Linked DNA regions of Elephas maximus indicus. The protein of the gene in region 2 purifies or fractionates together with the protein of the main gene of each other region. This does not show direct contact. Links are inferred from orthologs where the notes say so. Each region holds a gene or a part of one and is shown on either strand. Other genes may lie near its edges.

Region 1 (7,317 bases), on a different chromosome or scaffold from region 2:
AAAGTCCTTTATCATATGTTGATCTGTTCATTTGTTCACTGATTTAACAAATTGGTAATCTCAATTCCTTGGTTACTTCTTTAAAGAGCATTTTCAACATAGAATCTCGTCAGCTTTTTAAAAAAATGAAGCAAGATCATATTCACTGGTTCCCTTTTATACAAATGCATTATTAACCCCTGGGAAGAATTCTGATAATCAGTAATGATTTTCTATTTACAAAAAAGCATGCTACATTTTACCTAAAGGCCCATTTTGCTTATATTCTGAGAATATACACATCATTTCAGATTTCACTGTAAACCATGAGTTTTGCCGGTTTACAGAGCCCTACTGATTAGCAGTGGTCATATTGCTTCCTTTGTTCAACACTCCATCATACACAGCAGAAGAGGTAATAATTCCACAGTTTCTTCCTTGAATTCACTCAGAACGGTCTGGTGGACACTTCTCAGTTTTGCTGATTTGGGTTATGTAGTTGGATTTTTATAAAACAAATATCTAAACCTAAAATTAAAAAGCTATAATTGTTAAATTGGGCCCTATCTCTCATATAATGTGCAAAAATTAATTCTAGATAGATTAAACACTTAAATGTTATACATTAAAATGCTAAAAATCTCAGAACATCTGGGAGACTAGACCTACAATAAAGAAATGGAGGAGATACCTAAACCAAGACAGAAAATGAGAGAGTTATAAAAGACATTTTCTAAGAAAGACACATTTAACTACCTAAAAATTCGATGAATGACTCAATCAAGACAAGAAATCCAAGTACTTTGGAAGAAAAGATAAACATTTGACAGCATAAAAATTAAAAGCCTTTGTATGGCCAAAACCAAAACCAAACCCAACCTGATGCTGTCAAGTCGATTCCGACTCATAGCAACCCTATAGGACAGGGTAGAACTGCCCCATAGAGTTTCCAAGGAGCACCTGGTGGATCTGAACTGCTGACCTTTTGGTTAGCAGCTGTATGGCCAAAGGAACCATTAATAAAGTTAATGGACAAACAATAAAGAAAAAATATTAGCAGTGTGATGACAGAGTTAATGTCCATAGCACAGAACTCTTAGTTAGAAAAGAAAAACAACCAGTGTTTTAAAAGGGCAAGGAAATGAAGTGACAATTAATTAGATCTCTGTCAGTTGATAGAGACTCTTAGAAGACTCTATATAAGACACAGAGAAAAAAAATGATTCCATTTTTAAAAAGGACTCAGTTACTTTTCCCTCCCCTGTGTGTGTGTGAGAGGGAGAGGGGAGTAATTCGAGTGGAAAGAGGAGAGGGAAAAATAAAAGAAAATAAAGGCTTGCACTACTAGTCCTTAATCCCAAAGACCCCAGTAGACACATCAATTAATTTTTGAGGGAAAAAAAAATACAAGTGTTTGTGTATATACATAAAGAAATTATAAAGAATTAGAGCTATATTAAATGACAGGAATTTCTAAGATAAGTAATATATTTATTTACAGAGCAAAGTGTAATCATACTTGACTAAAGACAAATGACTGTATGTGTTTGTATAAAGGTATACACACCATTGGTTACCTCAAGAGGGTAGAATGGATAGGGGAGGTTTTGGCTTTAATACATCTTTGCATTGTATTATTTCACTAATAATAATAAGGATCTATTACTTCTATAATTTCAAAAATACCAAATTAAAGAAGTTATTATGCAAAACAACATCAACAAACTAATTTGGTTTATGTTACCTATCACTCACAATGGCATTTTCCCTCTCATCTACCCCTCCATGTCCCTCTTAATTTTCTGATGGAAGCACCATATCCCTTTGGCTACCTACCTGGTAACATATCAACTACAACAAGGACTGTGCATTCTAATTCACACATTTTTATGATACCAGGTTTTACTACTGGCACTTAAGTTTTCTGTCTTGGCTTTTCTGCTACTTTCCACCCTTATATTATTTCCTGGGTCATTCTCACTGACCAGAAGTGCAACTTGGAATTCCCTCTGCAGAGTCTTGGGGAATCCCAGGCTCAAGTTCATCCTCTTACATTCTTTCCCCCAGTTTTCAATTCAAGCAACTGTTACCATCTCTAGTGCCTGCAGGTTGGGACCATTAAGTTTCTAGAGCAGTGCTGACCAACAAAACTATGATGCAAGCTTTGGAAGTTACTTTAAATTTGCTAGTAGTGACATTTAAAAAGCAAAATTAATTTTAATGTCTTTTATTTAACCCAGTATATCTAAAATGCTATCATGTCAAGATGGCTTCAATACAAAAAATGAGATTTTAAATTATTTTTTTCACACAAAGTCTTCAAAGTCTAGTGTGTACTTTAATCCTACTGCACATCTCAGCTTGGACTAGCAACATTTGAAGAGCTTAACTGTCACATGTGGCTACTGGCTACCCTAATGGACAACACAGTTCTACAGAAGCCTATCACCTAAGGGCCCTGCAGTTTATAATATAGTTCCTCCTCCCTGGATAACTGTCTTGTCCAGGTTCATTAAGACTTCTAGAGTGTAAATAAAGTGCTGTGAGTGGAACAGATATTCTATCATAAACTATAACTCTGAATATTTACCTTTAGGCTGTTTCCAAAAATCAATTCCACTTTCAATTTCCCACACAGAGGGGATTCAGGAGGCAGTAGAATGCCCTATTTGGTATGTGGGTTGGAATCTTGGCTCTGCCATTTGCTACCTGTGGGACATTGAACAAACTACATTAATCTCTGTATGACTTGGTTCCTTTGCCTGTAAAATGGGAATATTTACAGTACCTACTTCATAGGTGGTCAGTGGCAGAATTCTCACCTTCCATGTGTTGGATTCCCAGCTGTCATGGATTGAATTGTGTCCCCCCAAAATATCTGTCAACTTGACTAGGTCATGATTCCCTTGTATGATTGTCTACCATTTTATCATCTGATGTGATTTCTCTATGTGTTGTAAATTCCATCACTATGATGTAATAAGATGGATTAGTGGCAGTTATATTGATGAGGTCTACAAGATTAGGTAGTGTCTTAAGCCAATCTCTTTCAAGATATAAAAGAGAGAAGTGAGTATAGAGACATGGGGAGCTCATACCACCAAGAAAGCAGGGCTGGGAGCAGAGTGCGTCCTTCGGACCTGAGGTTCCTGCGCTGAGATGCTCCCAGACCAGGGGAAGACTGATGCCAAGGACCTTGCTCCAGAGCCGACAGACAGAGAAAGCCTTTCGCTGGAGCTGATGCCCTGAATTCGGACTTCTAGCCTACTGGACTGTGAGAGAATAGACTTGTCTTTGTTAAAGCCATCCACTTGTGGTATTTCTGTTATAGCAGCAGTAGGTGAGCAAGACACCAGCCAATGTAGCCACCAACCATCTGTCAGTGGAGGCTTTCCTGTTGCTTATGATGCTGAACAGGTTTCAGCGGTGCTTCCACGCTAAGGAAGAAAGGCCTGGTGATCTACTGAAAACCAGTCAATGAAAACCTTATGGGTCACAACGGTCCAATCTGCAATGATCAGTGGTCATGGGGATGGTGCAGGACGGGGCAGCATTTTGTGTGGTTGTGCATGAGGGTCGTACCTCAAGGCCACAAAAGCTAACGACTTCATAGGTCCTTCTGAGGATTAAATTAGTTAATACACATAAAGGATTTGGAACCGTGCCAGGCACATACTAAATGTTCAATACATGTTAGTTATTATTCCAGTAAACTTGTTGCAGGCCCTGAGGTAAGTCCCTAGAAAATACCAGAAATTCTGAAGCGGCTTTACAGCCGAGGGGCCACATTCTGGTTGAGAACTACCTCTCAGGCCATCACGGACACAGGACCTATGCGCGGACCGGCCAAGCCTCAATAAAAAACACTCCTCCGCTCACCTCTCCCTGACCACCCCCGGCCGGCTCTTTCCCGTCAAGATTGAGGTGGGGGGGTAACTGGGGACACCTGAGGAAAGACCTGCTAAGTCTAGGTCATGGAGACAACTTTTCTGACCGGATGTGAGGGTGGTCCACTAGAAGCAGGAGGGATGGACTCCTTGACTCTCCAGCTGCCCACAGCACCTTCCCTGAGGTGAGGCCACTAGGTGGCCTCGGGGCTGGCGCGGGCCCAGCCGCCCCGGCTCACGGAGGTGAGGGACGATCCCAGAGGGAAGCGCGCGCGAGCCCGGGGGCGGGCCGGGTCTGGAAGGGGCGTGACCAATTCAGGAGGCCCCGCCTACCCGCCCGCCGGGCTGGAGCCTGGAGCGGACGTGCCCGCCTGACGCACTTCGGCGCCGCAGCCAATCGAGAAGCGCGGAGCAAGTTCAAATAAAGACGGCGGGTGAACATGGCGTCTTTTCCTGGGTCTGGGTGGTGATCAGCCTCTGTTCTGCTCCGAAGATGTGGCGGGTGAAAAAACTGGACCTCAGTGCGTCGGCTTCGCCGCAGCCGGTGAGCAGAAGAGTCTCGGAGAGAGAGAACTGGGCTAGGGCTACTAGGGCGGGAACGCTGGCAGAGCCTTGTGTCCTGGATAGCTGGGTCAAGGCTGGGAGTGGAGGGGGGCGTGTGCAAGTCGTTCGTCCTGCCGCTTCAGCGGGACTGGTGACGGAGCCTACTCTTTCTCATCGCCTGAGGCTTCTAAGGGAGGGAGGGCAGCTAGGCTGGCAGAACCCGTGCTTTCTCACACTTGCTTTCTTTCTCAGGGAAAACCAGCTATGAGAACTCCCCTTCGAGAGCTTAACCTGCAGCCTGGTGCCCTCACCAGCTCTGGTAAAGGCCCCCCTGTGCACTCCTCACTCACCCCATCACTGCGCAAGCTGACGCTACAGGTGAGAGTCACCGGGACAATTTCGCATTTGGGCTGTTTGCCCAGGCCGAGAGCTCAAAGGAACACAGGTCCCGGGTTGGAACGTAATTAATAACGATAATGAAGTTTTCTACCTCAGTGACATCCATTTACAGCTATTCAGGCCAACAGAGAGGTGCCCTAGGGTGGTTAAAGGAAATTCACTGAGAACCTAAACCTCTATTTAGCTGTTAGTTTTTATCACCTCTTCCAAACTACTGAGAAATACTTTCAGCCTGGTTAGTGGTCTCCCTCTTACATAAGCTGGAGAGTTGACCTGCTGCAGCAGTGAAACGATATCCATTTACTCCTCGAGGTAGTCAAATGTTCTGCGGTCAAGTTACATACCACGGGAAATTAGAGTACTTGAACTACCTGATTTTAGCCCCTTGCAGAATTGCCCTCAGTGAGATGTGCTTTTGTCAAAGGTCTTGAGAGAAGTAGCCGTGTACAAACTACTTTTTACTTACTTTAAAAACTTTTCATGGAATGAAATTTACCCCTTTATAAGATCCCTAAGGAACCCTGGTGGTGCAGTGGTTAAGAGCACCGCTGCTAACTGAAAGGTTGGAGTTCAAAACCACCAGCCACTCTAAGGCAGAAAGATGTGGCAGTCAGCTTCTGTAAAGATTACACAGCCTTGGAAACCTTATGGGCAATTCTGCTTTGTCCAATAGGGAAGCTATGAGTCAGAATCAACTTGATGTCAACAGGTTATAAGGCTCCTTGCAGAAATTTCATTTAGAACTCATTGCCTGGGAAGATGGTCTTTACAGAGAAATCGTGTAAGTACCCTTTTCCCTTTCTGATAATGAGAACTATGTAGTTTATCATATTTCCCCTCTTGCTGTAGTTTCTAGAAAGCTCAGGATCAAATCTGATGATCAGGTATTGTTGTTATTGCTTGGTGCCGTTGAGTTGGTTCTGACTTGTAGACAGAGACCCTAGAAGACAGAGTAGAACTGCCCCATAGGGTTTACAAGGAGCGGCTGGTAGATTTGAACTGCTGACCTTTTGCTTAGCAGCTGAGCTCTTAGCCCCTACACAATCAGGCATAGCTACTGTTAATCCCTGAAATTGGAAGATTTGCCTCCTTTTTCTTCTTTGACCATGACTTCATATTTCAGTATTCCATTAACTTGATCTGTCTATCCTTTTCATGCAGTCTGAATTATTTTTGGAAGGAAATGGGGTATAAATACAGTAGATTAGAGGAAGGAAGAAGAATATATAAAAGCAGATGACAACCTGCATGTTTTAGTTTCTTAATGTTGCTATAACAAATATAGTACTGGTATAAAGTGGGTGGCTTTAATGAACAGAAATTTATTTTCTCAGTTTGGAAAGCTAAAAGTCTGAATTCGGGTTGCTGGCTCTAGGGGAAGTCTCGCGCTTTGTCTGCTCTGGGGGAAAATCCTTATCTCTTTCAGCTTCTCTTCCTTGGTTCCTTGGTAATCTCTACATGGTATCAATCTTTCTCCATTTGTGCTTCCTTCTGTGCCTAATGTGCTCTTTTTATATCTCAAAAGTGATTGGTTTAAGACATGCCCTACACTGGACATGGCCTCATTAACATGACAAAGAAAATCCTATTCCCAAATGGGATTACATCCACAGATAAAGGGATTAGGATTTATAACACATTTTCAGGGGACACAGTTCAATCCATAACATTCCACCCTTTGCCCTCCCACAAATTCATGTCCTTTCCACTTGCAAAACACATTCCCCCATCACATCATCCCAAAAGTCTTATTCTATTCCAGCATCAACTCCAAAACCATATCTTCTGGATCATCTAAATCAAGTATGGGTGAGACTTTGGGTGTGTTCTATCTGGGGTAAAACTCCTCAGTGGACTTATGAAACCTAGAATACAAGTTATCTACTCCTAAAGTACAATAGTGGAACAAACACAGGGTAGACATTTCCATTTACAAATGGGAGAAATTGAAGGGAAAGAAGGGCTCATGGGCACCAAGCAACTCCAAAACCCAGCAGAACAGATTACATTAGCTGTCAAGGCTTGAAAATAATCCTGTGTTCTCCGGGATCATTTGGGCAAGGGCCCTGCCCTCCAGACTTTGGGTATTGGCCACACTTTCTATATCCTGGGTGGAGGCCCCTTATCCTGGAGCTAGCTCCACCTTCCTGGACCACCGGAACAGCAACTCTGGTCCCTCGGCTTTGGGCAGCCCCATTCTCCTAGTCCATCTGAGTGGTGACTCCACCTTCCTGAACTGAGATGTGGAGACTGGACTCTTTGAAACCTAGGAGGCTGTAGCTCCACCCTTTGAAACCAAGGCAGTCCTCCTTTCTATAATTCTTCCAACAGCTCTGCCTGTATCTGAACCACTCCAGAGATGGTCCTTTTCTTTTTTTGGAGGACAACAAATATTTGCAACCAAGTAGCTCCACTGGGCTATTTCCTGCCTGTATAATTTCAAGAGCCAGACACCTTTCCTTCGTTTTGTCCTGTCTCTGTCCCCTTCAGTTTAAGCTGATGGGTGTTC
Region 2 (7,387 bases):
TTTTCTTCCAAATGATTTATCATCGAATTTTATGTTTAACCATCCTGTCTGTTATGGATTGAATTATGTCTCCCAAAAATACATGTTGTAAATCCTAACCTCTATGCCTGTGGTTACAATCCCATTTGGGAACAGGTGTGTTTGTTATGTTAATGAGGAAGGATTAGTGTAGGGTGTATCTTGAGTCAATCTCTTGAGATATAAAAGAGATACAAACCAAGCTGATTAGAGAGAGAAGCAAGCAGAAATGGGGGAAGAGAGATATCAAGCCACAAGAAGACTGCCAAGGAGCAGAGGCTTAAAGAGGCAAGGACCTTCCTCTAGAGCGGACAGAGAGAGAAAGCCTTCCCCTAGAGACAGCACCCTGAATTTAAACTTCTAGTCTTCTAAACTGAGAAAATAAATTTGTTTGTTAAAGCCACCCACTTGTGGTATTTCTGTTATAGCAGCACTAGACAACTAAGACACTGTCTTACAGTGTTTTAATGTTATAAGCAATGTCGAATCCTCTTGGAAATAAACTGGATAAAAATTACACATAAAACCTGTACAAAATACCAGTGTTTGGGGTTGAAAATCAAATTTTAGATAGGCCATATCAATGGACACTATGTTAAGTTGCCTGACATTATTTAGGAGACTGGAGATCTAGGGAGATGGAGGGGTTAGATTCCACTGGATGTGAACAAGGGAAAGGAAGCCTCCAGTGGTTTCTGATTTCTTAAAAAGCAAAATCCTTGTATGGCCACAAGGCTGTACATCTGTGCAGTCACCTTCCACAACCATCACTTCTCTTTTACCATTCTATCTTTCACTCACTCTATCCAGCCAGTCTGGCCTCCTTGTTGGAACTCTTGACATGTATTACTTCATTCAGGTCTCTGTTCATACTTCTTGAGAGGCCTTCCCCCACCACCCTGTATGAAATGGCACACACATTCCACCCATCACTCTTCATGCCTTTCTTTACCTTGCTATGTTCTTATTCATAACACTTATCAGCAGCTGACACTATGCATTTATTATCTGTCTCTCCTAACTAGAATATAAACTCCTAAGAGCAGGAACTTTTTTTTCCCACTGCTCTATCCCCAGGTTATTCTGAGTCAAATTCAACTGGAGGGCAGTTGAATATCTGCAGTGCCTGAAACAGAAACTTCAATAAAGTGGTTACTAAATAAATGAAAGAAACGATTTTGTGGAGATTTTCAAGAGGGGGGTGTTGACAGCATTCCAAGCATTTGTGACACTTCCAGAGACAACATAGCGCAACACTTTCACAGACCAAACCTGTTGCTGTGGAGTTGACCCCAACTCGTAGCAACCCTGTAGGACAGAATAGAACTGTCCCATAGGGTTTCCAAGGAGCGAACTGCCGACCTTTTGGTTAGCCGTCGAGCTCTTAACCACTGTGCCACCAGTGTCTCCCCATAATGTTTGCTGAAATTTATTTGCAAAAAGATTGGGAAACTAGCATGTGAGCCCAGGATAGGTAGCAACTCAAAATTTCTAGCCCATGCATGGTAATTAAAAACACTGCTTTCTGCTAAGACTCAGAATTATCTTTCTCCCAGAGTTTTCCCCTAACCTTTGCTTTTGCCCAAGGAACAGTTACCAAATTATTTCTCAAACACTTCCTATTCTTTTCATATGGACCCAGATCCTCATCCCTTCCAGCTCTTCCATTCTATACCTTTGAAAATCCCAGCCAGTGAGTTTAGTGACACATACCAGGCATTCAAATTACTGCTGAGCTAATGAAGTAAGCAGAGTCCCTGAGCGGTGCAAATTGTCAATGGTTGGGGGTTCCAGTCCAATCAGGACACCTCAGAAGACACATCTCCTGATCTACTTTTGAAAAATCAGCCATTGAAAATCCTGTGGAGCACAGTTCTACTCTGACACGTGGGGAGTCAGAATCAACTCGACAGCAACTAGTTGAATGAAGTAAACAGTACCCTATCGTGGAAACCTCCTGTTTCAAGCGCCTTGTCTGCTTAGATTCTGTACGCCTGGACGAAGAGATACAGTGTGAAAGTAAGTTTCCGTTTTTAAGAAGTGAAAACAGTATAACCCATGTTGATGTGCCCTCAAACTCTAAACTTTAATTCTACTTTAATTTTGAAATCTGCACAAAGAATTGATAGAGACTAAGAAATCGGCGTTGAAAAGCCACAACCAAATTGGCTATGAATCGCCTACCATGGGGATTAGGCTCAGCTACTTCATCATAGCTCACTTTAAATCTGCCAATTTTCCCACTTGCCCCTTGGTTCGACGGAAAATGTTTCTCAACAAGATTCTGATACTTCACAAAAACCAAGGCGGGAGGTATCCGGAGTTCGAGGTCTTTTACAATCACGCCCACTGCGGCGCTAGAAGCAAAGCAACGGAAGTTGGAGAGACTTTGCAACAGCTGCAAGAGTTTCACTCCCTGGCCCGGAGAGTGGTAACATGAGCGAGGCTACCCTCACCAGGGCGGCGTCCGGCAGTCGGCGTGTGCTGATCCCCGCGGAACCCCGGAGCCCACCTTGCTGGACCCAGGACGGGTTCCACCTGTTCTCCCTCCTCCACGCCACCGCCCGTCAGGGGCGCAGCGCCACGAGCACGACGAGGGCACGAGGAGCCCTCTCCTAGTTATGCTCACCCTTGGTCAGCGTGTCCAGCACCCCCGACTTCTCCAAGTACCTCCGGAACTGCTCGCGCTTCGAGTCGGCGGCCTGAGAAGACACGGCGGGTCAGTGGCCGAAGCCCACAGGGGCCGGAGGAGGAAGAGGGCGCTGGGAGTCCGGTAACCCCACCTCCGCCTCGCTACTTCAGGCCCCCCAAAATCTGCGCGCGTCCCCACTCCCACCGGTAGCCGACCGGCGGCTGGCTACCGCCCTCACGCCCCCAGCCACGCCGCGCCCCCTCACTTTGTAATGGGCCATAGTGACAGCCGCAGCGGCGTAGCTGGCGCCCGAGACCGTGGCTGGCGGGCTCTGGTCAGCACCGCTCATGCGCGGAAGGGCGCGTGCGCCTGCGCACTTGCGAAACGCGGCGGGGGATCGTCGGGGTGTGGCCTGTTTTCATGGCGACCGGGACGCTCTGAGTTTCCTACAGCGAACTGAGCGGAGGGAGGCTGCGTATGCCCGCCCCTGTCGCTATCAAAGCAGCGCCTCTTCTTCCGGTCCGCACAGCGATTCGGTTGCTTAGCGAGAGACGAGGTTACGGTGACTCCGGACCAGTGTCCGGGTGGGGCTCGAGATGGGCGTGGCGTCCGGGGGCGGTGCCTGCGGAGCCCTCGAGGTTTGGTGCTGGGAGCCGTGGGGGGGGGGGCGCACGGCACCGGGAGTGGGCAGGCTTTTCTCTGTCGGGGTTTTGGAACCCGTGGTAACCTGTGGGCGCGACAGATGCACAGCGACCCTGGGATTTCAGTTGGCTTGAGGGGAGTGGTTAGGATCGTATGCTCTGACGCCTCCTTTACGTTTGGTTTCTCCTTGTTTCTGTGGCTAACTTGATTGGGCCTCTGGAAGGTGAGTAGTAATATGCTAATAATATAGCCAGCAATTTTAATGGCTTACTGTGTGCCAGGCACTGTACTAAACACGTGTTTATTTCAGTCTTCACAACATCCCAGTAAAGGAGGTACTTAGCTCCAGAACTCTCTTTTAATCATGATGCTATATATAGGTGAGCTGGTAAAAGAAAAGCCACCAGTCTTTTTAAGATTTTATTTACTACGTAGGAGCATAATGGTTATTCTCAAGACACATCAGGCTGCAGTCTATAAGGAAACTGAGAAGTCTTAGAGGCAAAGAAAATTTACCCAGTGTTCAGAATTAAAAGATTAATAACTAAAAGGAGCAATTACATTGATCAAGAACAGCCTCCTAAGGCTGTGGTCCTTTCAAGGAGAAAACCTGGTTCCAAACCATTTGGCCTCCATTCGGAACACTGATTTTCCTAAAATCTGTTTTCACACATTCTGATGAGAACCATGCCTGATTTGGTAATTTTAGGTTTTTGAATTTAAACTATCCTTTCACAACTCAGAATTAGAGCTGTTTTTCCCTTCTTGAAGGTCCCTGGGTGGCGTAGTTTGCCCTCAACTGCTAACCTAAAAGTTGGCAATTCGAACCCACCCAGCAGCGGTGCTGTGGAAGAAAAGGCCTGATGATTTCCATTCATAAGACTGAAAACCAAAATTAAACCCGTTGCTATCAAGTCGATTATGTAGTGATCCTAAAGGACACAGTAGAACTGCCCCATTGGGTTTCCAAGGAGCAGCTGGTGGATTCAAACTGCTAGCCTTTTGGTTAGCAGCTGGGCTCTTAACCACTGTACCACCAGGGCGCCTTCATACAACTACAGCTAAGAAAATCCTATTGAACAGTTCTGCTCTGTCCAAGAAAACTCTATTGAACAGTTCTTGTCTGTAACACACGGGGTCACCATGAGTCAGAATCTACTCCTTAGCAACACATTAGGTGGTTTTTTTGTTTCCCTTTTTTAAATGAGTTTACAGTTGTCTTAACAGCTGGTCCTCAGAGCTGTCTTTGTCCCTATATTCTCCCTGCTCCATCCCCACTAGGCCACTTCTGTAATGTAATATGCACAATGTCTAAAAGCCAGAAGCTGTTCATATCTGAAGGTCTGTGGGTGCCCGCCTACCGATGACGTTGTTTGTCAGAGACACTAAATGATTTGAAGGATAAGCACTAGGATTTTTGCAGGTTCTGACAAACTTAGTCTCAAAGGACAACTCTCCCAAAGAGTCAGGAGTGCCTGGAATGTCAAGTGGTTGGGAGTCTCCCTGTAAAGGAGGAAGGGTTCTGATGGTGCCCTCTCCAAACAGGCCCTGGAGGCTACCTTTAGGAGGTAGTCTCTGGTTTTGATCCTCTGTAAAGGGTCTCCATGTAGCACTAAGCCTCTTTGTTTTCCAGTTGCAGTTAGCTGGCAGAGAGAAAACTTTTTGGGGTGACTGTGACACGTGGTTTTCCAAATCTACAGAAACACCTCTAGAGTAATGGCACCTTTCACTGTCTGTGCCAAAGTTTTCTCTTCTTTCCTTTACCTGGTTGTCATCCACATCTTTTCCAGATATTTTATGAGTTCCATCATTATTTGAGCTGATGTGTTGAAGATGACTACCAGTAGTACTAATTGTGTGCATCTCATTAGAAAGTACAGTTTCCTGTTCATCCAAAATGCATTTCTCATTTCCACTATAACTGTCAGGGTCTACCTGCAATGCAGAAGATGAATTGAAACTAGGATACACTGTTTTGTGTGTTTTCTTTTCCACTAACAGGTTATAATCAGGTGCAGAAGGGAGTCCCTTCAGTGAATTTGCAGATACGCTCTTATATTTGGTAGGATTTTGTTTTGATTTGTTTGCAAAGAATTCATTATGTTCATCCTTCAGTTTATATTGTCCCCAAAGCCCTCTTTTAATCTTTTTAAAACCTAGGTGAGCAATTTCTAGAACATTTAAGAAAAGTGAAACAGTGGCTATGGACTGCATAAACAATAGGAATATTGTTTTTTCTGTTGGTCTTGAGATAAAACAATCAATCGTGTTTGGACATGGGTGGCTATGGCATTTAAATAGAGGCTCTAAGTGAAATCCATATAAAAAATACTGTCCAATCATGAACCCAACTTCAACCGCAGAGCGAGTGAAAATGTGTATCACGTAAGTGCAAAGTAACATTCCTCTGAGCGGAGCTTTATTTAGTTTTCTTTGCTCCAACTGACAAAGCTCCTGCTCCAGTCTCCTCCGATGCCCAGTTACTTCAAATTCAACCTCTTCCAGTTCTCTTCTCAACTGAGTTTTCATCTCCTGCCTCTCTTTCTCCAGAACTCTCAGTCGGTACAAAGCATGGCCCATGTAGACCAGAGATGGTGAAGACACAAATATGACCTGTAGAACCCAGTATCTAATGAGGGAGATAGGAAAGGCCTGGTCATAGCATACATTTCTGCAGCCGGGTTGTTCTGTATTGCAGATGAAGCCAGACTGCTCATCATTCCAGACGTCTTCAGCTGCTACACCCAGAACAAGCATTCGAAATATGAACAGGATGGTGAGCCAGATCTTTCCAATCATGGTGGAGTGGATGTGAACTTCCTCCAGAATACCTCCAAGGAAGTTCCAGTCCCCCATGTTTATTTAGTCAGCCATCTTAGGCCTGAACCCCACCAATTAGGAGACAAGTAGATTTCTTCCATTCTAAAGAGAGCGCTGTTCCTTAAAGCAAACCTATGGCCAAAAGATGAATAAAGCATCATTCTTACAGTGTGCTGGTTGCTTACTTTTTCCCTAGATAGCAGTGACAATCTGTTGTTGTTAGTTGCTATAGACTTGGCTCCGACTCATGGCAACCTTATATATGACAGAAAGAAAAGTTGCTCTGTCCTGCACTAATAATGTTACCAGGAATATATTTAAGATAAGCCAGGAATTTAAAATCACTCATGTTTCAACCTAATAATGCAATTAAAAAAAAAAAAAGTGATACCTGGGCGAGGTACGTATACATTCTCTACTAAGAATAGAATTGTAAGATTTTCTGTTAAAAAAAAAAAAAAAGTCTTCTTACTTGGCTGATAGGAAGTTTGTTCTTTGTCTAAGCTGTAGAGTTTTCCTAAAATGACTGGCTTAATCTTACAAACGTATTTACTAAGATTATGTTGTTGTTGTTAGTTGCCATCAGGTCCGTTCCAACTCATGGCAACCTGTGTGTGGAGAGCAGAACTGCCCCACAAGGTTTTCAAGGCTGTGGCCTTTCAGAAGCAGATTGCCAGGCCTTTCTTCCCTGGTGCCTCTGGGTGGGTTTGAACCACTAACCTTTCAGTTAGTAGTCAAGCAGTTAACCAGTTGTGTCACCCAGGGACTATGTTATATAACCAAAGTCAGTGATTTTTAAATCTCATTTATACACAAAGGAAAATGAATTTGATTAATTCAGTAAGAGACAGCATTTAATAAAACCAGAGGAGACAGATCTGGCTCTTGCTGCAGGAATTTTGATTAGTTTTTAAATCCACATTTAAATGTTTAAATTCTGATTTCTTTCTGGCAGATGTTGAGCATTTCCAGAAATCCATTTTAGTAACATTTATGAATATTTATAAAATTCTTATTATACTTTGCAATGAAAATCTTTGGAAAGTTTTACCATGTTAAAACGAATTCCAGAAATTCTAACTATTTTGTTGTAACAGAATGCTATTAGATATTACCTAAAATAAGTGGACCCGGGTGTAGTGGTGGTACTATAGAAATTTTCCTCGTAACAATATTTGATCTACTTAAAACATGTAGCTTTCTATTTTGGAAGGGGCAGTGGGGCAGGTTATAATTTAGCTACGAGGAGGTTCATATTAAAACTGATATCCTAGG
Region 3 (6,866 bases), on a different chromosome or scaffold from region 2:
ACCAACTTGACGGCAGCTAACAACAGCCCATTTCTTACAATTCACTACTAACACACTGAAAGTGCATGCATTCTACAATTTTGGTTGGAAAGATATGAACTTCTGAACAAAGTTATATCTATCTAATAAACTCTCAACATTACGGCCCTTTACGACCCATATGGCAATTTTAAAAGAAAGTTCCAACAACATGACATACAATTTGGTGGAGATTTTATGTTAAGTTTTCTGAAAGGGGAATGAAAACATTTCTGCCAAATAACTATTTTGAAACTTCCACAATACTCTTTAAGTAATAATATTGAGAGGACAGAGTTCAGGCAGATTTCAAAGTGGTTATAAACACTAGACTTCTGCCTAACTAACAAACTACTTTTTAGTGCTTAGCCTGCATTCTTATACAACAATATCCAACAGTTGGCCTTGGTTGTCTGAATAGAAAAGCTTTAAAAAAATCTAAATCTTGGTAAATTCCTACCACTGATCCTGAATTTCACATGGGGTCACTATGACTCAGAATTGATTGGAGGACAACTAACAACAAAAACCCAACTATTTCCAGATTATCTGGACAACAGCAGCCTCTATATCAATAGTTCTTGACCCCCGAGGGAGTCTCAGACCCTTCTGAGAATCTGATGAAAGTTTTGGACTCTCTTCCCTGAGATGAGCAATTTTCACAAGCTCATTCCTAGCACCCAAGAACCCCAGCTCTATACCTTGCACCAAATGAAGGGAGAAAGGTGATGGCAATATCAAAATCTGTGACAAAAAAATAAAAACTTGCACGTGCTCAGTCAATTTGTTAAAGAGTCCAAACAAAGGCACTGCAGTGGTGAATTAGCTTGAAGACAGCTCTGTTCAATGTATTGATCCCACTGCCCTAAACTCTTCTCCTGAAACTCCACATGGGATACTTCTTGCCTTTCAGTACTAAGCTCAAATGTCACCTCCTCTGAAAGGATAACTTTCCTGGAGGCCCAATTTAAAGAAGCCCTCAGACCCTCTTTACCACATCTCTTTTATTTTCACAATAGTATTTATTACTATCCAAAAATACTTCATTTATTTTCTTATTTACTTTAGGCTCTCTTATTAGGATCTAATGGGGCAGTTCTACTCTGTCCTATAGGGTCCCTATGAGTCGGAATCCACTAGATGGCAGTGGGTTTGGTTTTTTTTTTTTTTAGAGTCAAAGCTTTGCAAAGTGTTAAAAAGCAAAGATGTCACCTTGGGCAATAGGGCGTGCCTGACCCAAGCCGTAGTATTTTCAATCACCTCATGTGCATGCGAAAGCTGGACAGTGAATAAGAAGACTGATCAAGAATTGATGCCTTTGAATTTTGGTGTTGGTGGAAAATACCTAATATACCATGGACTGCCAGAAGACAGAACAAGTCTGTCTTGGAAGAAGTACGGACAGAATGCTCCTTAGAAGCAAGGATGGTGAGTCTTCGTCTCACGTACTCCGGACATGTTATCAGAAGGGACCAGTCCCTGGAGAAGGATATCACGCTTGGTAAAGTAGAGGGTCAGTGAAAGAGAGAAGACCCTCAACAAGGTGGACTGACACAGTGGCTGCAATGATGGGCTCAAGCATAGCAACGATTGTGAGCATGGCACAGGACCTAGCAGTGTTTTGTTCTGTTTTACAGAGGGCTGCTATTGAGTTGGAACCGACTTGGCGGCACCTAACAAGCTTCAAAAGGGCAAGGATCTTGTCTGTCTTGTTTCCCAGTGCCTACAACAGTGGCTGGTACACAGTACGCATCTGATAATTATTTGTTCCGTGAACAAAACTAAAAGATAGGATGTTGATGCTGGTCTCAGCTACCAAGAGTTTTAACTAGCTATGAGTTAGGGTTTCTCCCTTTTCCATAATCTGCAGTCCATTCAATCGGCAAATATTTAGTGAGCATATGCTGTGTGCCAGGTACTGTTGCAAGTGTGGGGGACATAGTGAATAAAACAAATATGTTTGCCCTCACTGACCCTACATTTTAGTGGACCAACAAGAATAAGCAGTTCTCTTGCAACCCATAACACCTGGGAGCTATAGAATAAATCTCTACATTCCTTCCTTGAGGTAAAGAGCTATGAACGGATTAAAAAACAAACAAACCCACTGCCATCGGTCAATTCCGACTCATAGGACCCTACAGGACAGGGAACTGCCCCGTAGGGTTTCCAAGGCTGCAATCTTTACGGAAGCAGACTGCCACGTCTTTCTCCAGCGAAAGAGATATGGGAGATCACCAAATAAAAGGAAAACATTCTCCAATCGGGCACTTACAAAACGAGCCTCAGGGGTTCCCCCGAAACCAGTTGGACAGCTCTTCCCACCTATATTCTGCTCACCTGGGGGAACCCGAACCGGTAAAGCCCAGGTAAAGAGAAAACTTGGGGCAAGGGCTGCTACTTTTGAGGACTTGGGGTGGTGAGGGGAGGAACCAGGAAACAGGACAGCGAGGAGTCGTGGCAAGAGCCCTGGGCTGGGAGGCTGGAGAGCCAGCTCTGACTGTCCCCAACTTGCTAGGTGACCTTGGGCCAATCCTGAGCTTCCCCGACATCAGTTTCCCCTGGGGATATAATGAGTATGCCGAGAGGGTGGGATTCCGGGCCCAGGGGCGGGGAAAGCGGAAACAAGGAGGCCGACTGAGGCCCGGTGGGGTAACGGCCGGCGTGGGGCCGGGCCGGGGCGGCTCACCCACCGAGCGCCACCTGGCAGGCCCTGCGCAGCTGGGAGTGCTGGGGCCGCTTCACCTCCTTGTCGGCCAAGATCTTCTCCAGGGCCCGGGACACGAACATGCTCTTGGTCTGGCTCTCCTGCATGGCCCCGGCCCGGCGGGGGCTCGCAGCCCCGCGGACGGGCGGCGCGAACGAGCCGGCGAGCAAGGCTACGGCCCCGGCGTCCCGGCCGGTACCGGCCGCGTCCGTCTGCACCGCCCCGTCAGGGAGCGACGCCGCGGCCCCACGGCGCCGCCATGTTGGAGCGCGTCACGTGACCACGTGACGGGCGGAGCCGCTAGGGCTGCCGCGCGTCTGTCGACCCCGTGCCCTGACGGGGCGGGGCCTGATGCTGGGGGCGGGGCGGGGCGGGGCACGATGGGAGGGCAGGGGAGGGGCTGAAGATGGAGGGAGGAGGGAGAAAAGGCGGTGAGAGGGAGTAGAAACCTGTGAAGAGGGGACGCGGGTCGGGGGGAAGAAAGGAGAGGGAGGAGAGGTGGTGATGGGAAGAGAAGAGCTGAGGAAAAAAGGCAGTGAGGAGGATGGGCCTGGAGATGATGGGGTTAGAGATGAGGAAAGAGAGATGAGAGGGAAAGAGGAGGTGAGACGGAAAAGAAGAAAGGAAGGCGAAAAGAGGGAAGTCTGGAAAAAAGAATTGGTGCGGGAATGAGATAGATGATAAGGGGCAAAAGGAAGAGGTGTGGAGAAAGAGGAGGTGAGGGGGAAGATTGGAAGAAAGAATTGGCGGGGGAGTGAGAGTTGATGAGGGAGTGGGAGGAGTTGAGGAAAGGGGAAGCAAAGAGAGGAAGTGAGGGATGAGGGGAGGCATGGAGGTAGAGAAAGTGAGGGGAAAGAGGAGGTGGAGATGGGAGAGAGGAGGTGAAGGAGTAAGAGAAGGGCTGAGGGGAGAGAGGAGGTAGAGAGAAGAGTCTAGGAGAAGAGCAGAGAAGAGGAAAAAAGATGAGGAGAAGGGAGAGAGAAGATAAAGGGAAGAGGGAGGAAGTTAGGAGAAAAGGGGAAGAGGAATGAAATGGAAAAAGATGATGTGAGGGGGAGGCAGTGAGAAAGAATGGAAAGAAAGCACACTCGGAAATGGAAAGAGAGAAGGAGTGAAGGGAAATAGGAAGTGAAAGGAAGGCAGGCAGAGAAAAGGTGTATTTGTGGACAATTTCCAGAAACAGTATTTTACCGTTCCCATCTGCAAAACACACAGCATCCGCACAACCCTCCTGTGGCCATGGCAGAGCCAGCTCCTGGTATCCGGCTCACTTGTGTTTATTGCGCGCCACGTCTGTGCCTGGTGCTGCCAGGAAGGTCTCACTGCCAGTCCACCTCCTTTTGGAGTTTATCTGGTCTATTTTCATAAACCTGTGATTCCTTACAATGCTGCAAGCAGGCCGGGAGTGTTTCCTACGTTTGACAGAGGAAGAAACGGAGCTCACCACTGATACCACAACAGCCAGTAGTGATGTCCCTGGGCCCCTTCACACACCACCCACCTCTGCCAAGAGAAACTGTGTGGCTGCTGGGACTCATACGAGGTGAGGCCCCTTCTTATAACCCTCAGAAACCTCCATGTGAGTGAGGTCAAATCCTCAGGTCTCAGCTCAGACATCTCAGGGAGACCCTTCCTGACTACCCAGCAGAAAATAGCCCCCCCTCCCTATTTTAGGAAACCCTGGTGGCATAATGGTTAAGTGCTATGGCTGCTAACCAAGAGATCGGTAGTTCAAATACACCAGGCGGTCCTTGGAAACTCTATGGGGCAGTACTACTCTGTCCTATAGGGTCGCTATGAGTTGGAATTGACTCGACGGCAGTGGGTTTGGTTTTGGTTTTGGCTCCCTATTTTATGATTTTTATAGCATTTTTCTGATTTTTTCTTTTTTTTTACTTGTTGACTTTTTTGTTGTCTACTAGAACGTAGGCCAGGGAAACTCTGGACTGTATCCCCAGAACCAGGTAGAATGTTTCCTGGTCATAAATTCCATTGCTTTGAAATGTGACTTTGCAGGTCCTTTCATCAGGTGATGGAGTCTATTTCTCCACCCCTTTAAGTCTGTTCTACCCTTGTGATTTGCTTTGGCCTATAGGATGTATTTGCTCACTACCATCTTCCCCACGTAGAATGCAAATTCCATGAGCTCACAGCTCTATGCCAGAGTCCATCGTACTTACGGAATGAATGAGTAAATGGAGGGGGCTGGATTTAGGTCCACGGGATTTAATCTTTCAATCAGCAAGTTATTTGTGGGGTACCTTCTATGCTTTTGTGGGGTACACAATAATGACTCCCCAAAGATGTCCACATCCTAATCCCTAGAACCTGTTACTTTACATGGCAAAAGAAACTTTGCAGATATGATTAAGTGAAGGATCTTGAGATGGGGAAAGTATTCTGGATTACCAGGTGGGCCCAGCATAATCACAAAGGTCCTTATAATAGGGACCCTGAAGGGTCAGAGTTGGAGAATGGGACCTGATGACCAAAGCAGAGGTCAGAGTGATGTGGGGCCATGGGCCAAGGAATGTGGTGGCCTCTAGAAGCTAGAAAAGCATAGAAGTGGATTCTACCTTAGAGCCTCCAGAAGGAACAAAGCCGTATTGACCCATTTTAGACTTTTGGTCTCCAGAACTCTGAAAAAATAAATTTGTGTTGCTTTAAGCCACTAACTCATTGCCACTGAGTCATTTCAGACTCATAGCGCCCCTATAGGATGAGTAGAACTGCCCCATAGGGTTTCCAAGGCTGTAATCTTCATAGGGAAACCCTGGTGGCATAGTGGTTAAGTGCTACAACTGCTAACCAAGTGGTTGGCAGTTCAAATCCACCAGGCGCTTCTAGGAAACTCTATGGGACAGTTTTACTCTGTCCTATAGGGTCGCTATGAGTCATAATCGACTCAACGGTAGTGGGTTTTGGTATAGTTTCCAAACTGGGTTGGCACAAGGAGCTTCAGCTTTGAAATCCAGCATGTCAAACCTCAACCCCACCATTCAGTATGACCTTGGACAATGATTTTATCACCTTGAACCTCAATTTCCTCATCTGTAAAGTGGGTAATCCTAACTGTAACTTGTGAAAATCAAGTGAAATGATGCATATAAATCATGTACCTGCACTACCAACCATTCGGACCAGACACACAATTGATGACCCTGGATAGAATGGGAGAAAAATGTAGAACAAAACTCAAATTCCTAAAAAAGGGCCAGACTTACTCAACCAGTAGAAACTAGAGGAAACTCCGAAACTATCACCCTGCGTTAGCCTTTAAACGTGGAGCTCAATCCACTCCTGTGGTCACCTCTCAGCCGAGAGAGAGACTGGCTCATAATACTACCACCCGTGAGTGCTGTGCTTCTTTAAACAAGCATATAAATGATACCTAACGGTTAACATTTACCCTAGACCAAAGATGAGACGATAAGGAGGGACAAGGAAGCTAGATTAATGGAAATGGAACAACCAGAATGGAAATACTGAGAATGACACATTGTGAAATGTCTCTGAATAATATGTACGGAAACTGTTAAATGAGAACGTAATTTGCTATGTAAATTTTCTCCAAAAACACAGTAAAATATTTTTTTAAGTATTTTAAAAATATATTTTTTAAAAAGACCAGACTTAGCGGTCTGACTAAGGCTAGAAGGACCCTGGTGGTCATGGCCCCCAGACCTTTTGCTGGCCCAGGACAGGAACCACTCCCGAAGCCAACTCTTCAGACATGGATTGGACTGGACGATGGGTTGGAGAGGGATGCTGATGAGGAGTGAGCTTCTTGGATCAGGTGGACACTTGAGACTCTGTTGGCATCTCCTCCCTGGAGAGGAGATGAGAGGGTAGAGGGGGTTAGAAGCTGGCGGTATCAACACGAAAAGAGAGAGTGGAGGGAGAGAGCAGGCTGTCTCGTTGGGGGAGAACAATTGGGAGTATGTAGCAAGGTACATATAAGTTTTTGTGTGAGAGACTGACTTGATTTGTAAACTTTCACTTAAAGCACAATTAAAAAAAAAAAAAAAGTGCCCTGGCCACTTAAAATTGTTCTAAGAGTTCAGGGCCTGGCAAACTTCCCCAGGTCTGTCCTAAATTACTAACCAAAAAAAAAAAACAAACAAGCCAGTTGCCCTGGAGT
Region 4 (7,560 bases), on a different chromosome or scaffold from region 2:
GTCAATATTGCAATGCATTGAAACTGGGATTAAAACTCAAGATCCCAGGTTCTCAATCCAGGGAGCTCTCTCTTCAAACACACTTACTTACATTATCATTTCAGGGAGGGGAAAAAAATACATATATATACACACACACACAACATACTATGGTAATTTAGTCAGATACTTACAATTTAGTATATGAAGAGTATTTTCTAACATGGAAAAAATAAACTCACAAACTAAAACTTTAGTTTTAACCTCAAGTTTTTAAACCTGCAAGTTATTCATAAACCTACACTGTATAGCAATATTTTTAAAAATCCTAAAATCACTCCCTCCCTCAGCTCACCCCAATTTAATAATTAATAATTTAATAATTACCCCTTTCAGGACCCAGATATAAATTCAATTTTTACCACTGTACAACTGTTTTCTCGCACATCTGGAACCACCTTTTGTTAGCTACAAAACAAGTCAAAGGTGAACTTCCGATCCATGATGGGGCGGAAAGCTAAACTTAAGGCCACTATACTACAGAGTCAAAAATTTGAAGATGAAAGGTCTTCAACAATATTTTTTAATATCACCAATTTTAGGGATCTAAAAAAGAAGAAAACAAACAATATAGTATATTATAGCAAGTTAACTTGTAGTCTTCAATTTATTCTTATAATTAAAAGGAAAAACTGCTTTTAAACAATCCTGACTCTCTACTTTAGCATAAATTGAAATTATTCTGGATGCCACCCTGCCCCACCCTTAAGAATGCTGTTTTCCACTCTGAGGGACAGAGTGGCAGGGGCGGGGTCTGGGGACCATGGTTTCAAGGGACATCTAGGTCAACTGGCATAACAAAGATTATTAAGAAAATGTTCTGCATCCCACTTTGGTGGGTGGCGTCTGAGGTCTTAAAAGCTAGCAAGCAGCCATCTAAGGTTCATCAATTGGTCCCAACCCACCTGGAGCAAGGAAAATGAAGAACATCAAGGGCATGAGGAAAATATGTGCCCAAGAGACAGAAAGGGCCACATAAACTAGAGACTCCATAAACCACCTGACACTCTAAGAACTAGATGGTGCCCGGCTACCACCAAATGACCGCCCTGACAGAGAACACAACAGAGAGTCCCTGATAGAGCAAAAGAAAAGTGGGGTGCAAAACTCAAATTCCAGTAAAAAGACCTGACTTGATGGTCTGAGACTGGAGAGATCCCTGAAGATGCGGCCCCCAGACTCTCTGTTAAGCCAGAGCTAAAACCATTCCAGAAGCCAGGGATCCCTGAGGACGTGGCCCCCGGACTCTCTGTTGGCCCAGGACTAAAACCATTCCGTAAGCCAACTTTTCAGGCAAAGATTAGACTGGACTGTAAGACATAAAATGATACTGGTAAAGAGTGTGCTTCTTGCTTGGCTCAAGTAGATACAGGAGACTAAATGGGCAGCTCTTGTCAGGAGGAGAGATGAGAAGGCAGAAGGGGACAGGAGTGGACTCAATGGACAGGGGAAATAGAGAGTGGAGAGGAGGAGTGTGCCATCATATCCTAGGGAGAGCAACTAGGGTCACATAACAACACGTGTGTAAGTTTTTGTATGAGAAACTGACTTAAATTGTAAACTTTCACTTAAAGCACAATTGGAAGAAAAAAAAAAAAAAAAACGCTGTTTTCCAAAGCCTGTCATCCCATTTAAGAAGCTTCATTTTCTCATTAATTTGACCTAGTCTATTTCCAGCGCTATAAAATAATGTCTAAGCATTAGAATTCATCTCTGCTAACTGTCCTGGTGTCTCCTTAAACGATTTCATCTTTGATGGATGCAACAGATCTATAAGTGTTCCGCCTTTTAACAGTGCCTTATCTGCATGTCCTCCCTATAGGTATTGTTTAGATTTACCCTGTTACAGGCTTTATTACACTAGATCTCTTCCGTTTGAACTATAAATTACAATTCAAGCTTGAAAGCAGCTGCCACTGTCCAGACATGTGGCTGGTGTGTGTCATTGTCTTTTTCATTTTTCTCATTTCAACCCCTCCCTTCTCTTGTCACCTAAAGTCAGCTTATCTAAAGGTCCTTTCACTCCCTGCTCTTACACCGCCACCCCCACCCCTTAACCTCTGGTCTTGTTCTTCCAGGTCAGCCCAGTCATATACAACATTACTGTTTTTCCTGTGGCGGAGGCGGAGAGATGTCAGAACGAGCTGCACCTCTTGCAAAACCCCTTCTCAGGCTGTCAGCAAGGGAACAACTTCAGTCTATCTTCCCAAAGTAACACGCTGAACGATAAAGTTATCGTAATTACGATGCAGAATCCTTCCCACGTACCCGATCTTAACATATCAGCTCCACTTCAATTTCCAAGCTAATCAACAACAGCTCATCTGTGCTCCATCACAAAGGGCGGCATTCCGTCCGCACCGCACCGTTCACCAACAAAATCCTGTCATACACTCGAGCGGCTCCCTGGAACCCGGGCGCCTGAACCTGCCGCGTCCCCCGAGCCCAGCCACCCTGCCTCTGCCCCACATCCAGCCGAGTTACTGTCAACTCCAACCAGGCAGCAGAGAGCTTCGCGAGGGCTCCCTGATGTCAGCGCGGGCCCCGGCCGAGCTCCCGGGTCGACTCCACCTTCTGCGGGGGTCGCCACGCCAGCCGCCCCACCCGCCCCCCCCCCGCCCCCAGTCCCGGGGCCTCCTCGCCGCTCACCTAAGGCCACCTCGCACGCTTTGCGCAGTTGGGAGTGATGCGCCTTCTTCACTTCCTTGTCGGCCAAAATCTTCTCCAGCGCCCGGGTCAGGAACATGTTCTTCGTCTTCTTCCCCTCATACATGGACGCAGAGAAGGCGGCGGCGGCTAGTCCGACCCGCGGCTCCCAGCGGCCGGAGAGGAGGAGAAGGAGAACGAGGAGGAGGAAGGGAAGAGAGAAAGGAGGGCGGAGGTGGGGGAGAGGCGTGGAGGGCAGAGACAGGATCAGGAAGGGGCGGGGGAGCGGGGCCAGCCGCCGTGCGGGCCAAGTCTGCGCCGTCCCCCGAGAGGCCCGCGCCCCGAGGGGACTCCGCTTCTCCCGGCCCGGTGGGCGCTTCCCAGCCGCCCCCCTCACACGTCCCACGGCCCGGCAGCGGCAAGGGACCCGGACCCGGCGGCTGTCAGCCGGGGACCGAGGGCCGAGGCGGTGACAGTGGCGAGGGCTCAGAGGCCCGGCGACGGCAGGGCTGCCGTGGCTACTGTGGGGATCAGCACCCGCCGCGGCCGCGGACTGGCCTCCATCACCGCCGACCTGCCCCGGCCGCCATGTTGGGAGGAAACGACGCGTCACGCAGCGGCCGAACGGCTACAGAGGAGGAAGCGACAGCGGCGGTGGCGCTGCCAGGCCAGAGCTGCCGCGGCGCCGGGAGGCTGGGGGCGGAGGACGGCGCGGAGGAGCGGCCCGAGCCTCAGCGCTACGGCGGCCCAATGGGGCCGCGCCGTCTCCCGCGTTCGCCCGCAGGGCGGCGTGGGGCGTGGCGGGTGTCCTGCGGCGCCGCGGCGGGCGATTCGGGCTCCTCCCAGCGACTCTGCGGGGATGGGAACCCCCCGCACCTCTGCTTTTGCGGAGTTAGCAGAGCTGCTTTCCCTGCTGCACCGGCGTCGCTGACTCTGGAGTTGGTCGGAGTGCAGCCCCTTTCCCTACGGGAGTCACAGAAACGCCAGTTTCGTCCGTTCTGAGCCCCACTGTGTTTCCAAATGCTCGACTCTAAATTCCGTTTGCAAGTGCGTGAAACTGCTGTCCAGGACAATGCCCCTCCGACTGCCTTAGGGCGGATTCTCTCTTAGAGTAAACTAAAACCAATTCGCAAAGATTCAGGACTGTTTCACTTTTCTATCTTGTAGAATAAACCTTTAAACTCCAGATTTCAGGTCCTTCTGAATTGCGTCTGAAGTTAAGCAAACGTAAATGATTGATAAGGTCCCTTAGAGTGTTTCTGTACCTTTAATACTGAGATTCAGTCCAAGAAATCAAAAGCATTTTCAGAATGGAAGAGATTTAAATACAAACAGATATACAAATAAAGATTTATGTCTTTCTTTAGTTGTATACATACACGCACACACAAATGTGCCCATTGGTATGCTTGGTACCAAAAAGGAATTCAAATTTCTACCGTGTTTCGTGTTTCTTCCTGAGGTGAAAATTATAAAGAATACCATAAAAATGTATGCAGACGACTTACATGGTGATTTAGGGGCAAGTCTTCGATGAGAAGCTGAAATCTGTTCTTACCAAGTTCCAGGTTGCTGTGTGACTTCATCCACACAGGGTTCCTTATTCGGTTGGTTTGATTGCCTTGACTATGGACTTGCTCCTGATGCAACCATCCAAACCCAAGAATGGAGAGGCTGTGAAATGACAAGAGTTGGGACAGGCTAAAAACCATGGGACATAAAAAAGAAAACTTGAAGGTGACCCCGAATTAGATGAAGTGGACAAATCGGTTTTTAAAACTTGCCTGTCCTGAAAAGCAAATCCATGGATTGATTAGTTTTGTTAAGGAATAACACATATAAATATATTTACAAATAGCAAATCAACAGAAAGCAAAATGGAGCTAATATTTATATCAATTAGAAAACACGTATAAAAGCCAATTCCAATTGTACCATCAAGTTAGGAGGGAAGCACAGTGGAAAAAGCAATGATTTTAGCCCTGAATCTACCACATCCTAGCAGCGTGATTTTGAGCATATCAGTTAGCCTGCCAGCTTCATCTGTAGAATAGGAGAGATGATCATGAAAAGCATAAAATCAGAAAGCATAAAATCGTGATTTCTTTACTGATTTGACATTAAATATAAGTAAAAGAGGACCAATAAATAGCTATGCAAGTAATACCAATATGTGAAATGTATTTTAGAAGTTTGGAAGTAAATTACAATATTTATATTTAAATGTCTTCCAAAAGAGGTTTATACAGACCTTGACAACTATGGACGTTTAAAGATGAAACATGAAAAACAACAAGCCACGAATAATTTTTTTTTTTTTTTGGCTTTAACGAAGAGAAGTTTAAGGTAGGCTAAATTCAGGGTGTCAGCATCAGGGAATGCTTTTTCTCTCTGTCAGCCTTCTCAACAATCTTCCCCTGGACTAGGAGCTTCTCTGCACACGGACCCCGGATCCAAAGGACAAGCTCTGCTCCAGGCACTGGTTTCATGATGTTATGAGGTCCCCCGCTCTCTGCTTGTTTGCCTTTCCTTTTATCTCTTGTAAGATAAAAGCTACAAGCGACACCACAGGGAAACTCCTTCTACGTTGGATCAGGGATGCAACCTGGTGAGGGTGTTACCATCCCATCCTAGTCCTCTTTTTTTTTTTTTTAAATAATTTTTATTCTGCTTTAAGTGAAAGTTTACAAATCAAGTCAGTCTCTCACACAAAAACCCATATACGCCTTGCTAGAAAAAAAATTTTTTTTTTTTTTTAAATGAGACAGCCCGCTCTCTCCCTCCACTCTCTCTTTTCCTGTCTATTTCGCCAGCTTCTAACCCCCTCCACCCTCTCATCTCCCCTCCAGGCAGAAGATGCCAACATAGTCTCAAGTGTTTACCTGATCCAGGAAGCTCACTCCGCACCAGCATCCCTCTCCAACCCATTGTCCAGTCCAATCCATGTCTGAAGAGTTGGATTTGGGAACGGTTCCTGTCCTGGGCCAACAGAAGATCTGGGGGCCATGACCACCGGGGCCCTTCCAGTCTCAGACCGTTTAGTCTGATCTTATGAGAATTTGGGGTCTGCATCACACTGCTCTCTTGCTCCCTCAGGGGTTCTCTGTTGTTTTCCCTGTCAGGGCAGTCATCGGTTGTAGCCAGGCACCATCTAGTTCTTCTGGCCTCAGGATGATGTAGTCGCTGGTTCATGTGGCCCTTTCTGTCTGTTGGGCTCATAATCACCTTGTGTCCTTGGTGTTCTTCATTCTCCTTTGATCCAGGTGGGTTGAGACCAATTGATACATCTTAGATGGCTGCTTGCTGGCGTTTAGGACCCCAGATGCCACTCTTCAAAGTGGGATGCAGAATGTTTTCTTAATAGATTCTATTATACCAATTGACTTAGATGTCCCCTGAAACCGTGGTCCCCAGACCCCTGCCCCTGCTACGCTGGCCTTCGAAGCATTCAGATTATTCAGGAAACTTCTTTGCTTTTGGTTTAGTCCGATTGTGCTGACCTCCCCTGTATTGCGTGCTGCCTTTCCCTTCACCTGAAGTAGTTCTTATCTACTATCTAGTTAGTGAGTACCCCTGTCCCACCCTCCCTCCCTCCCCCATCTCGTAACCACAAAAGAATGTTTTCTTCTCAGTTTAAACTATTTCTCAAGTTCTTATAATAGTGGTCTTATACAATATTTGTCCTTTTGCAACTGACTAATTTCACTCAGCATAAAGCCTTCCAGATTCCTCCACGTTATGAAATGTTTCACAGATTCCTTACTGTTCTTTATAGATGCATAGTATTCCATTAGGTGGCGTAGTGGTTAAGTGCTATGGCTGCCAACCAAAGAGTCGGCAGTTCGAATCCACCAGGCGCTCTTTGGAAACTCTATGGGGAGTTCTACTCTGTCCTATAGGGTCGCTATAAGTCAGAATTGACTTGACGGCACTGGGTTTTTTGGGGGGGGTAGTATTTCATTGTGTGAATATACCATAATTTATTTATCCATTCATCCATTGATGGGCACCGTGGTTGCTTCCATGTTTTTGCTGCTGTAAACAGTGCTGCAATAAACATGGGTGTGCATGTATCTGTTCGTGTAAAGGCTCTTATTTCTCTAGGATGTATTAGAAGGAGTGGGATTGCTGGATCGTATGGCAGTTCTATTTCTAATTTTTTAAGGAAGTGCCAAATCAATTTCCAAAGTGGTTGTACCATTTGACATTCCCACCAGCCGTGTAGAAGTGTTCCAGTCTCTCCACAGCCTCTCCAACTTTATTATTTCGGGTTTTTTGGATGAATGCCAGCCTTGTTGGAGTGAGATGAAATCTCATTGTAGTTTTGATTTGTATTTCTCTAATGGCTAATGATCGTGAACATTTCCTCATATATCTGTTAGCTATCTGAATGTCTTCTTCAGTGAAGTGTCTATTCATATCTTTTGCCCATTTTTTAATTGGGTTATCTGTCTTTTTGCAGTTGAGTTTTTGCAGTATCATGTAGATTTTAGAGATCAGGCGCTGATCTGAAATGTCATAGCTAAAAACTTTTTCCCAGTCTGTAGGTAGTCTTTGTACTCTTTTGGTGAAGTCTTTGGATGAACATAGGTGTTTGATTTTTAGGAGCTCCCAGTTATCTAGTTTTTCTTCTGTGTTCTTTTTGATGTTTTGTATACTGTTTATGCCATGTATTAGGGCTCCTAACGTTGTCCCTATTTTTTCTTCCATGATCTTTATCGTTTTAGATTTTCTATTTAGGTCTTTGATCCATTTTGAGCTCGTTTTTGTACATGGAGTGAGGTATGGGTCTTTTTTCATTTTTTTGCAGATGCATATCCAGTTATGCCAGCACCATTTGTTCAAAAGACTGTCTTTTCCCCATTTAACTGTTTT

What was found.
Region 1: the proteins of MYCBP (region 2) and SPAG5 purify together in Homo sapiens (co-immunoprecipitation; 3 studies listed by BioGRID and IntAct, with this or other methods). This does not show direct contact. The link is inferred for Elephas maximus indicus from reciprocal best matches to the Homo sapiens genes MYCBP and SPAG5.
Region 3: the proteins of MYCBP (region 2) and ARFGEF2 purify together in Homo sapiens (co-immunoprecipitation; 4 studies listed by BioGRID and IntAct, with this or other methods). This does not show direct contact. The link is inferred for Elephas maximus indicus from reciprocal best matches to the Homo sapiens genes MYCBP and ARFGEF2.
Region 4: the proteins of MYCBP (region 2) and ARFGEF1 purify together in Homo sapiens (co-immunoprecipitation; 4 studies listed by BioGRID and IntAct, with this or other methods). This does not show direct contact. The link is inferred for Elephas maximus indicus from reciprocal best matches to the Homo sapiens genes MYCBP and ARFGEF1.

The regions. Positions count from the first base shown.
Region 1 is NC_064837.1:23,292,553-23,299,869, forward strand, and holds the start of SPAG5 (sperm-associated antigen 5), read left to right. Parts: upstream 1-4,296; 5' UTR 4,297-4,359; coding exon 4,360-4,410; intron 4,411-4,661; coding exon 4,662-4,787; intron 4,788-7,317. UniProt on the Homo sapiens protein: Essential component of the mitotic spindle required for normal chromosome segregation and progression into anaphase. Required for chromosome alignment, normal timing of sister chromatid segregation, and maintenance of spindle pole architecture.
Region 2 is NC_064821.1:80,558,808-80,566,194, forward strand, and holds the start of MYCBP (C-Myc-binding protein), read right to left. Parts: upstream 3,024-7,387; 5' UTR 3,000-3,023; coding exon 2,916-2,999; intron 2,721-2,915; coding exon 2,648-2,720; intron 1-2,647. Other genes in the region: GJA9 (gap junction alpha-9 protein), read right to left, coding at 4,622-6,148. UniProt on the Homo sapiens protein: May control the transcriptional activity of MYC. Stimulates the activation of E box-dependent transcription by MYC.
Region 3 is NC_064843.1:20,611,531-20,618,396, forward strand, and holds the start of ARFGEF2 (brefeldin A-inhibited guanine nucleotide-exchange protein 2), read right to left. Parts: upstream 3,017-6,866; 5' UTR 2,833-3,016; coding exon 2,712-2,832; intron 1-2,711. UniProt on the Homo sapiens protein: Promotes guanine-nucleotide exchange on ARF1 and ARF3 and to a lower extent on ARF5 and ARF6. Promotes the activation of ARF1/ARF5/ARF6 through replacement of GDP with GTP. Involved in the regulation of Golgi vesicular transport.
Region 4 is NC_064833.1:75,191,138-75,198,697, reverse strand, and holds the start of ARFGEF1 (brefeldin A-inhibited guanine nucleotide-exchange protein 1), read right to left. Parts: upstream 3,018-7,560; 5' UTR 2,813-3,017; coding exon 2,689-2,812; intron 1-2,688. UniProt on the Homo sapiens protein: Promotes guanine-nucleotide exchange on ARF1 and ARF3. Promotes the activation of ARF1/ARF3 through replacement of GDP with GTP. Involved in vesicular trafficking.